Oryzias latipes: one gene and its partner. The protein of the gene in region 1 purifies or fractionates together with the protein of each later gene. This does not show direct contact. Links are inferred from orthologs where the notes say so. Each region holds a gene or a part of one and is shown on either strand. Other genes may lie near its edges.

The links.
Region 2: the proteins of csnk1d (region 1) and per1 purify together in Homo sapiens (affinity purification with mass spectrometry; 4 studies listed by BioGRID and IntAct, counting the BioPlex papers as one, with this or other methods). This does not show direct contact. The link is inferred for Oryzias latipes from reciprocal best matches to the Homo sapiens genes CSNK1D and PER1.

Annotation. Positions count from the first base shown.
Region 1 is NC_019866.2:24,956,179-24,961,912, reverse strand, and holds the start of csnk1d (casein kinase I), read left to right. Parts: upstream 1-2,388; 5' UTR 2,389-2,780; coding exon 2,781-2,856; exon of another isoform or gene 2,857-5,734. Other genes in the region: engase (cytosolic endo-beta-N-acetylglucosaminidase), read right to left, coding at 399-478. UniProt on the Homo sapiens protein: Essential serine/threonine-protein kinase that regulates diverse cellular growth and survival processes including Wnt signaling, DNA repair and circadian rhythms. It can phosphorylate a large number of proteins.
Region 2 is NC_019876.2:15,134,565-15,140,306, forward strand, and holds the start of per1 (period circadian protein homolog 1), read right to left. Parts: upstream 3,488-5,742; coding exon 3,123-3,487; intron 2,658-3,122; coding exon 2,404-2,657; intron 2,317-2,403; coding exon 2,195-2,316; intron 2,122-2,194; coding exon 1,920-2,121; intron 1,841-1,919; coding exon 1,646-1,840; intron 1,077-1,645; coding exon 998-1,076; intron 746-997; coding exon 639-745; intron 237-638; coding exon 83-236; intron 1-82. UniProt on the Homo sapiens protein: Transcriptional repressor which forms a core component of the circadian clock.

The DNA of each region.
Region 1 (5,734 bases):
CAGAATATTTACTTCAAACCATTTTCTTATTAAATGATGAGCAACTATGATTGCAAAACTTTCCTATTAAAACATTACAAAATAAATTAGATTGTTTAGACACAACAAGAGGAAATTTTAGTCATTTCTTTCTTTTTGCAAAGCCTTTAGGTTTGATCTAAAATCTTCTCCATCCCATCATGCACTTGTTAATTTGTTGACGGTCCCTAAGAGACCCCACTGGACATCCGCGCTGAATGTCTGTGGAATATCCAACCTAAAACTAACTTCATCACCGCACTTCTGTAACTGTCTGTCAATCATTAATTTGAAACTACCCTAGTTTCTCGGAGCTTCAAGGTGAAAGTTAAAGGCAAACAACAGGAAGACAGTAAGAAACAGCGTTTCAGAAACCTTACTTGACGCGTTTTGCTTCCGTCTGTCTTTCGTCGGAATTTTTTGCTGCAGATTTTCCGGTTTCCTTCGCAGTTTCTGCCATTTCTCTTCATTCAGCGAGAAAAACCGGAAAGAAAGCCGGGACAGGAAGTAGACTCGACGTGTTTCCGGTTTTTCCTTCAGAATAAAAGCAGGAAAGAAGAGGTTCACTTTTACTGTGAAGAACATTTAGTGAAAACGAAAACGCACCGTTTTGAGGGGAAAAAACTGCATATAAACAAAAATCCTAAACTTTGCTGGAAAAAAAACATAATCATGATTTTAAAAGTGTTTCTAAGTTCTTTGTTGTCGTTTTTTTCTTTCATTTCAATTACAGTGAGCTTTTTAACACCATCCTTTTAATGTATAATTTTAATTTTTGACATTAGAGGTGGCTGGTCTGGTTTTGGAGGGGTTTTAAAGAAAACTTTATTTTTAATTGGAGTTTAATTAGCTTCATGTTAAATACAATTTAAACTGAAACTTAATGTAATTCTAATAACGCAGTATGAGTCATAGGTGTTATGTACTCATCTGAATTTACTTTTTACACTTTTTTTTCTTTTTTTGTTGGTCACTTGACTCATTAACCTTTGAGGCTTAAGGTATTGTAAAGAACTATGTAGAAGGTTAACCCTGTTTATTAACATGCATTTCCAGATTCTGATGTAAAATGCTACAGCTCATTCATGCAAGGCAACATGACAGGATGAGCTTCTTTGACTGTAGGTGACGTGTGGAAGACTAGGAGTGTCTTATAGTACAATCTGTGATCAATTTCAGTATAAATAAAAAAGAACATCTAATAAATAGGATTTCTAATCAAGTAATTCATGAACATTTTAATAAAATCTATTACAAATGTATAAAAAATGCAGCCAGTAAAAGCAATGGGATTTAGGAAAATCAATCGCCTCATTAAACCAACAAAAGTAAAAAGATTTTCTAACCTGAAGTAGGAATAGTGTGGTTTGGTTGTCTTTTCAGAAAACGAGAGCAGAGCTGTGGTTTGGATGAAGAAGTCTGCAGGGACAGAGAAGAATGTTGGAGATCTTCAGAACAACCGGGAGACAAGAGAAGAGAAGATGGAGGTGGGACTACGCCAAGGATCAGCTTTGAGCGCCTTCTTGTTTCTTTGGTGATGGACAGACTGAGAGACGAGGTTAGACACACAAGCCTCTTAGTATGGCAACTCCCAGCAGTGGTTTAATATAAGTAGAGTTTATTCTGCTAATGGAAGTTCACCTCAGTTAAAAAATCTTAAAATAAATGCCAACATTTATTCAAATCGTTTGTATTTTTCTTCAAAGTCAGAGAGCCACAATAGTGGAATAAAAGCGCCGCGTGAGGCTCACGGTGGAGACCCCCGGTTCAGACACAGAGTCAGGAGGAAGAGCTGGAGGCAGCAGAGAGGAAGATGCTGAGGTTCTCTGTGGGACCAGGATGGATCAGGAATGGATCCATCAGAGGATCGGATCACAGATGTTCTGGAGATCCAAGCAGATGGAGATGTTTAAGAGGAAGAACAGTGATGATGATGGTGAAAGGATGCTGAGGCTGGAGCTGCCAGGAAAGAGAGGAAGACCAAAGAGGAGGGTCATGGATGGAGAGGAGGATGCAGAGAAGGTTGGACGGAGTCCGATGATTTTCTTTGGCGCCCCCTAAAGGCAGCAGCAGAATGAAAAAGAAGAAGCAGTAAAAAAAAAATTCAAATGCATTTTCAGATCAAAATATTTATTTATCAATGTAACAAAAATAGTTCCTGTTTTAATTTCAAAGTGTGATTACAGAATACTTTAATCTGTATAATCTGTGTATCAATTGTTGCATTAAAATCATATTTTGTCATCTCTATAATTATTTCAGTGTCTTATATTCAAACCGCTGTTTTGCTGCTGTCTGCTTGGAACTCGACACCTTTCAAACTGCCCCCCCCCCCCCGCTCCTCTGGACCGGAAGTGACGTCAGAGCGGAGCAGATTGCTGAGTTCTGCTCACAGCAGCGCCACAGGACGCGGGAGACCCACAGCGACGCCAGACTCTGTCCAAAATCCGTTGTCATCCTCGGAAATTTAGCTTTTATCGACCTAAAAGACATCACGAGCATAACGTGGACACTTTAAGCTTTCTAGAAAGCGCTGTATTGTCACGATATGACGTTTGTAACATTTTAAAAGCGAAGGCGAAAGATTGTTGTTGGAAGCCGTCTTCATCCGGATACATACTGCTCACCGGGGAACGGATTTTGGGCAGAAACCCGCCGCCGCTGCTCGTTCCCGCTTTTCTTTGTTTTTTATTTGATTTACTGCCAAGTGCTTTAGGTCTGAACGTTTTCAGAGAGAGCTGGTTGACCACAGAACCTTCACCATGGAGTTAAGAGTTGGAAACCGATACAGACTGGGCAGAAAAATTGGAAGCGGCTCGTTTGGAGACATCTACCTGGGTATGTTGTGACGGAAACGCCGTGGTCTGGTCCCTACCTGCCGATCAGGGGAGTCGGGCGGCTGGTCTGACTTCTTTCCGGGGTGTCCTGAACGGCTCAGCGACGATCAGCTGTTAGCAGCATTAGCTAAGAGGCTAGCAGACTCGGCTGTTGTCTGAAGCAGCATTTAGTCCGAGATGTTCAGAATTCTTCCTGTTAAACTCTGAAGATTTGGTCTTTGACGTTTTGTGACGGCTTAGCGTACCGATGGTGGAACTGGACCGGTTATAAGGACGCAGTTCTGGGACGAGGCCCTGTCTGTCCGTCTGTCCGTCTGTCCGTCTGTCTGTCTGTCTGTGTGTTTCTGAAGGACTCAGAAACCGAGGCTTCATCATGTCCTTAAACGAAACACTTCCGTTCATTTATGCATGTGTTCTTGTGTTTCTGTTGTGGATTTACCTGAAACACATTTACTCTATAAGGAAGCGTCCTGTCTGTCTGTCCAGATATAATCAGGAAGGCCCAACGTCCACCAGGCAAAGGTTTCTTTACATCCAGCTGTCTGTCTGTTTCCTGATCCCATCTATGACATCGTATTGTTTGCTAATGGTTACAGTCTGGGATTGGATTATGTTTCTAGTTGTACTTGTATTCAGCAGCAACAGCATAGCTGGAGTCTGACATTCAGCTCTTAACAATAAAACTGTGTAAATAAAAAAACAATCCTGAGTTTTGGATCGAGACCATTTTCACAGCTGAAGATCTCCACTCAGAAAAGACATTACGATATAATGTGGACGTATCTGACTGTCAGTTATTCTCCTCCACACATTTGACTGTATCCAAATAAAATCAGATGGGTGTTGGAGAAGCAGCACATGACCGTGACTTTCATACGTTGGCATTTCAAAGCTCCTTCCGTTTACGTCTGGTTCCTGCTTTTTAGTGACTCCAGAACATTTCACAGTGAGGTCAAGGAAAAGCCTCCATGGAGGTAAAAATGTTGTTGTGACTGTTGACTCCACCGTAGACATGTGGAGGTCATTCCAGAAACCTTCTCAGTAAGAAGTTTATCCGTTTGAGCCTTTATGTGTGGCCCTTTTGATTTGCAGACATTAGTAATGTTCAGCGTTTATGATTTCCCCTTCATAGTACCAGACAACAAATCTGCAAAGAGGAACAGGCAGTAAACAAAGAGCCACAGCGGATTATCTGCAGGAAGAAGCTGACATGTCTTGTTTTTATTTCTGCGGTGATGATGATCAGCAGCCAATCAGCACACTTCTACCTTAGTTGTACTTCTGTTCTGAGGGCAATGTTGCCTTTTGTATCAGGAACATGCTGCTGAAGATCTAGTGTGGGTGGTTCTATAGAAAACCCCCACTGGCTTTGCTGCTCTTCTGTTGTGTTATGGAGCTATAGTAATGGGCTGTTAGCTTTCAGCCCAGTTCAGGTGTGAACACAGCAGAGTTTTGACGGATTCTTTCAAACGTTACACACCTCACTTGATGAGCTCAAACTGATGACTATCATTAAAGTGTAATAACACGTGTGGATATCATGGTTTAACTACAAACTCCATTAAATACACCAGGCTGCCATCAGCCTGTGAAGGCGGGCTCTGCTTGAGGTTAATCCACTGAAAACACACCTTAACGTTGGAAGAGGACAGGGCTCTGCAGGCAGAAACAGGACCCAGGAGAGTAAATAATTGTATCCAGCCCTCCTTCCACGTGACCGCCGGGCCTGATGGCGTGGAGCCAGCTGCTTGCATAACCACTTTATGGTTTTTGTCTTCTGCCCCCAGAGAGATGACTAACCTGACCTCCGGGTTTAAAAACGTTTAAAAATGCATCTCTATAATCTTCATTCTTTCATAAAGCTCTAGATTTGAACTAGAACCAACAGCCTGATTCTGCCTTTTGTGACAGCAGCAGGGCATGCTGGGAAGTGAAGTTCTTAACTATGCATGCATTTTTCTGGTGAGTTGTAGTTGGATAGCTTTTGGTCTGTGGTGACTGATTATTAGTTATAAAGCTGGTGTCTCTTTGAATTCCCAGCTACTTTAATGGTTTTACCTGTTGACATGTTTACTGCATAACGACGCTTCACACTGAACAACTGATTACCAGCTTTGGATCACATTTTTTTAATAACTAGAATATTTTAAAGTGCTTCACATACAAGTATGCACTGTGTACTGAGGGAGGGGCTGTTATGTCCTCATACTACACCCCATTAGACCATTTCTCTGCCATCAATCAAAATATTCCTTCTGTTATATTTACACTGGGTACATCTAGGGTGTCCCGTGTACGGCTTGTCCTCCAGATATCCTTGTCCTACCTTCAGCTGAATATCTGGATCAAATCTATCAATGTAAATCCATAAGATCAGAAAAGAGGCAGGACGGCACTGTAAGAACATTAGTTTGTTTTGGAGGAGTGGTTGTCTCAACACGACGTTCATGCCAGACTAAAACAGCTCAATAGAAGTCACTCTGCTATCGTGCTTTATAGAATAATATGATAGAGTACATGTAGTTATTGCCTTGTATCTTTTCAGACTTTGAGTTTTGGTCTCCAAGTGAAATTAGATCAGAACTAGTGTGTCAGAGAAGCCGACTTATGTAATCTGGTTTGAGAAATGAAATGCTTGAACAATGGAGTCTTTCTGAACCAACTGTAAACGTGTGTTTTGTAACGTCAACCTGCAGCCGGAGCCTGTAACCCGTCTGACAGGAGGGAGCCTGTCCGACAGATACCGTCTCTGTGGTATGCTGGTAACATGAGAATGTTCTGCAGGGAGGGGTTTGTTTAACGGCGAGGCAGAGCGCTAACGGCCAGCGGGCTCGTCACACGCACTGACTCACCGATCACCATCACTGATGACGGTTTAC
Region 2 (5,742 bases), on another chromosome or scaffold:
TCGGAGCAGAAACAACCTTCAGGGTTATACTCATACACCTGCTGACCACCGGTTTGTCCAACGAACCAAAAGACGGTCTTACGTTCGGACTTTGTGGCGTCCGATGACGAAAGCCACCTTTCTGCTCCAGGGATTCACGAAGGACGACCAGCTGGTGTCGATGGTCAGATACTCGCCGTTGCGGGCGCACATCCGTAAAGGTGAATAGTCAAACGGCTGCCCTGCGAACTGAAAGACTAAAGACAGACCACAGTGCAGCGTTCAGACACAGTACTTCAGGGTTTTCTGGAGATGGGCGCGGGTCCAGACACATCTCACCGTTTAACACCGGAACTTTAGCGCCTGTGTCGACATTCTTTCCACTACAGCAACTTTTCTGCCGTTTACGGACGTAAACGGACAAACTCCCGGAAGCTTCTGAAGTGGAGAAAAGCAGCTGTGGACCGATATGCAACAGCAGAGAAGTGCTGCATATCTGATATGAAAAACCGCTTTTCTCCACGTCAGGGCAAACGGTCCAAAGATTACGGTATTTAGATGTCGCCGGCAACACCTCCGGAGTTAAAACTTGGTTCCGTCGTGTTTTTTGTGAGCCGGTCACATGGCTACAGCCAGAAGGGGCTAATAAAGCGACTCACTCTTTTCGTGGATGGCGACCATGGTGGGTCGATCCTCCGGGTGGATGTAGAGCAGGATTGGGGTCCCCACCAGGTCTTGGGGCAGGTAACCCAACAGCGGCACAGCTCTGAAAAATCAGATAAGTAATCGCTTAAATGACATGGAGTTTTGTCTCATTAGAATAATCTGGAATAATCTGAGTTTAACAAGTTTTTGACATTTTTCCGGTGAAAGAACACGGATGTTCAGCGATCTTTAAAAACAAGACAAACAAACACATTTGGCTGAACAGGTTGCCTCATGCCGTTTGCCAGTTCCAAACTCTCCGGATAGATTGCAACACAGCCGTAACCGTGGCAACAGAGTCAGGGTAACTGACCTCTCGTCAACTTCCTGGAAGAGGCAGCTGGGAGTGTGGCTGGTGGTGAAGATCCTTTTGTCCGGGGGGATCCGGGGGGCTGATGGGAAACGAGGCAGACATGAGCAATAGCACAGCATCCATACATGAGAGACATTCTGTTTGCACCTATTTTTTGTGTGTGTGTACTTTATTCATATTCAGAGAAACCTGCTGTTCTAGATGAACCCAGAGAGATGCAATCTGTCCAATCTCACTCCCTCTGTCGGGCACGGTTGCCACGGTAACAAGCTAATATTGTTTACCCTTTACTCGATGATTTAAATATATTAATAAATGGAAAAGTATGACCTCCTTCTGTGTTTAGGGGCACTCTGGGCCTGAGCAGCTTTTTTCTGTCATTTCTAAATTTACCCTTGAATCATTGCATCTGCCGGTGAACGCCATCGTATCCTAGCAACAAGAACTTACTCACTGTCTCTTACAACTTGCAAAACTGTTTTGGATTAAACCGACTGTTCAATCAGATATAAAAAGGGGAGAAGTGGGTTGCCCTTCTTACAAAATCTTTGTGTTAAAACTTCAGTCTGTCTAAAAGGGGGCGGGGTTTAGAGGTATTGGTTGTAGTGCCTCCTTGGGTCAAAACATCAAAGGAAAGTTTTCCAATACCTTCGTATCCTGAGTGGACTCTCTCTGCGATGAGCAGGCAGCAGGGCTGCGGCTCTGCGGCGTCCGAATCTCGGAGGGTGAGCTGGTAGGGCGTCAGGCGGAAGGAGTAGTAGCGCATTTCCCCGCCCTGTACGCGGTCGGCGCTGATCCGACAGAACATGGACTTCTCCTGAGTGCAGTCGGCGGGAGGGGAGGCTGCGGGGGGAGCGCAGACAAGTCAGTGGACGATACAGAGGGGGGAGTAGAGACGCCGCAATGCCCTCCCGACACTCACCCGAGCCGATGCAGGAAGCCCAGGGGGGCAGGCGGCAGGGCGCCGTGCTGCTGTAGAAGGTGCTGACGTCTTGGGGAGCCAGGAGCTCGGAAAAAATAGTCCCCTGCAGACACTCGGGCTTGCAGCGCAGCAGGGACGAGCCCTGCGGCGACACGTACACGACTCTCCCCGACAGGAAGGACACGGCCATGGTGAAGGTGTCCTGCAACAGGAGACGCGGGGGACGTCAGCGCCGGACGTAAAGCTGCGTTTAGGGGTGCGGCCTGCACACTCACCGTGTTTTTCAGGGTGTACTCTGAGGTGATGTTGTCGAGCTCTTCAACCGTGAAGGCAGACAAGTCCAGGCTGCAGCCATGACACTCCTCCACACTCCACTGGTGGTAGTACTCCTTATTGGCTGCAGATAAGCATGTCAGCAGATGCACGAACACCATTGGGTGAATTTTAAAAGAATAAAAAAAAAAAAAAGGGGGGGGGGGGGTACCTCGGACTTGTCGGACGCACTGGAGAGCGTATTTGAGCGCGCTCAGAGTGCTGGAGTGACCTTTGCCCTTGCGCTCGGCCGGCAGCCGGAGCTTCAGCTCCTTGATGGCCTTCATGAGCTCCTTCTGCGTCTGGAGCCTCGCCGACTGGTCGCTGCTGCAGCCGGAGGTGGAGGGGGGGTCGTGCTCAGAGCTGGTGGACAGCAGGCTGTAGGCCAGGGAGCCCCCGGGGGGGGACAGGCTCTGAGAGTTGGAGCTGAAAGGAGGAAGGACCAAACATTCTTTCAGGAGGTTGTTGCAGACAAATACCAAAGGTAAATCAGATCAGACTGGCGCTTCCTGGAAACATCTGACTATGTGCTGCAGAAGGCAGTTTCAGTTGCAGGAGATAAAGTGTTTTGATCCGAAACATCGCATTGATGCTACGCCAGCAGATTATACGATTCGCTTTGACTCAACTTCCGACTCCACAAAAGAACCCTGAGGTTTCTGCCATTCACGTTGCTTCTGGAAGTGGTTGAGCACAAACCCGTGAATCTGTTGTGGTGCGTCAATGAAAACGGTGTTTTTAATAGGCTTTTTTTTTCACAATGGAAAAAATGTATTCAGAAAAATGAAGCGGAACAGTGGTACCTAAAGCAGGCGGGAACTTCTTAAAGTTTCAAAAAGATATTTTGTGTGAGTTGACAGGAAACGGGAGGGTCATAGGTCAAGCTCCTACCTCTTGTTGCTCTCCAGCATCAAGCCGGAGTCCTTCCCGTTTGAGGAGCTGTGGGAGCTCCGTGAGGACTGGTGTCCGCAGGAGCGCGGGTGGCTCTCCCTCTCGCCGGAGTCGTTCCCGCTGGACATCCCCTCCATCTCGTCCGAGCTCGGTCCCCGCTGGTCTCCGGACCTGGACCCTCCTTCCATGGACGACACCCCGTCGTCTGCGTGTCCCCGCTCCTGTGGGGAGCCATGGGGGCCCGGCTGGTCGGCCTTCTGCCGGCTCAGGCCCTGGGGGTCTCCGTCCTGGTCTTTGAGGTGGGCACCCGACACTCTCCCCTGAGTGCTGCTGCTGGGCGTTGATGTGCAGCCATCATAACTCATACTAGTGTAGGACGAGGCTGGCGCAGCGGAACTAGATTGGCTTCTGTTCAAGTGGGACTACTATGTGAACACAAGTAAACCATAGTTGAAGCCGATTTGGGAAAATTGAAGGAAAATTAAGCAAAAAGTTGTTTTTCTTCTTGGAAAACAAAAAAAAACCTCCTTACAGGTTTTACTAAAAGAGCAAAACAAAGAAGGCAAACAGAGAATCCAGAATCCTGGACGATCCGGATCAAAAAGTGTCACTCGAGACAAATCTCTGGTTATGAAACAGCCTTGGCGTGCGCCTCAACAGATGGGACCAAGCGATGAAGAGGCAGAGTGAGAAAGGCAGCAAAACAACGTTTCTCGTGCTCCGATTCAGGGCCTCCAGAGAAGTGTTGCTCTGGGCGCCAAAGGCCACCTGAAATGAAGGAGAAAGGGAGAGAGCAGATTAGAAAAACACCTGCAGTCGCCTCCGCCGCTCAAGGACTTCAAGCCAAGAAAGGGGGAGTTGTGGGTTTCTCGCGCTGGCCTCAGTGGGAGGGGGGGACGCGGCCCTGAGATGTGCAGCGCAGCGCGGCGGCAGCTCTGGTCCTCTGCGCTGGTGATCTGAAAGTCGCCGCCTCATCTTTCAGCGCACAGGTGGGATTACAGAACACCCGAACTTGCACAGGTTGGTCGTCATAGCACAGTCCCATTTTTACCCCCGCAGACTAAATAAATGTGGACGCAACAGGAGGAGGGGGGCAAATCCGAATCACAGAGCGCTGATGCATCAGGCTTTACATGTCAAATTAACTCCATTTGTACATTTATAACCACAACCTACGCAAGTAAAAGTCTCCAGCTATTTATTGACCCGGCTGCAGTGATGGCGCTTAATCTCCTAAAGACCAACAGACGCAACCCAGAGACGACGCAGACTTCTGCTAAGTCGCAAATCCTGTCAACTTCATCCACCTGGCCACCCCAAAGGGCCCCCGCTGCCCGCCCTCTGACAGGTATGGTGGCTGAATCTGTCTCAGCTTCAAGCCCTGACGCAGCTCCCCCCCCCCAAAAGACAGATTCGGACTGGCCACCTGCGAAAGGCATGACGACCGCGGCTCATAAATAACTTCAGGAGCCGGTTTCCATGGAGCCAAGGGATCAACTGCAGGCTTTTGACTTCATTTCATGCAATCATGCAAAAAGGCCACCTGCAGCTGAAATGCTAATGAGCGTCGTGTTTGGTCAGATGGACGCTGCACCCTTGCACACATACAAAAAAAACCCTGATGGAAGGGGGCATGGCGTTCATGTGCACTTGCGTGGTTAATGACAGTGGGCGCAAAGCGAGGAGATGAGCTCAAAACCTCCAGACTTGACCACTCCGGTCAGGTTTTGATCCATTGTTAAAGTGTTGTCAATGATGTTTTTAGCCTAAATCACTCATTTTCTAAGACCTAGTTTCTGCAGAGCGGCAGTAGTTCCTCAGAAATTTGCCTTTGAGTTGTGGGCGGGACTGCAGCAGGGAGCTTGAGCGTATTTGCTGCGTCACAAATCTGATGTTTTTCAAACGGCATTTTGTCGTCTGCTCCTGACTCACAATGATTTGAATCGAGAAACATTCAGATTTTAAGCTCAACTTTCTGTACGTCCTCCATCATCAAAAAAATGCCCAACTAAACATGCCAAAACCCCGTTTTCCATCAGAGTGGGACCTTAAGGTTTCTCCATCACCACGGCCTTGAACCAGGAGAGGACAGCCGATACTCAAAAAAACCACCAGAAACAGCAAAACCACCCTGCGTGTTTCCCTCCCAAGCCCTCAGATTAGGGGAAAGCGTTCGCCGCCGGTTATGCAATTTGGTTTCTCTGTCAGCGTCAGAATGAATCACCATGAGGCTGCATGCAAAAAACGCTCCACACACCCCAACACGTCTTAATCTCTCGTCCAAATCCTCATGTGTCTGCGCTCCGTCAGCCAGAAAGGTCAAAGTGTTTTGTGTACCTTGTTTTTGCACAAACAAAAAGAGAAGTTGGACCCTGACCTGTATGGGGTTATTCTGGATTAGGATGGGAATTCTAGCTTTATTGGACCTACGGAGCACGGGCCAAAAACAGAACACCAGCAGGATGGCAGCCCACCAGCTCCAACAAGAAAACAACTGCTGATGGTTTCAGAAATGATCTGCACACAAAACCAAGAACTTTTTCTAAAAACAGCAACCTTTATAAAAATAAAAATAAAAAAAGCAACTGCAGCCTTACTGAAAATCTCATTTCAGTAACCA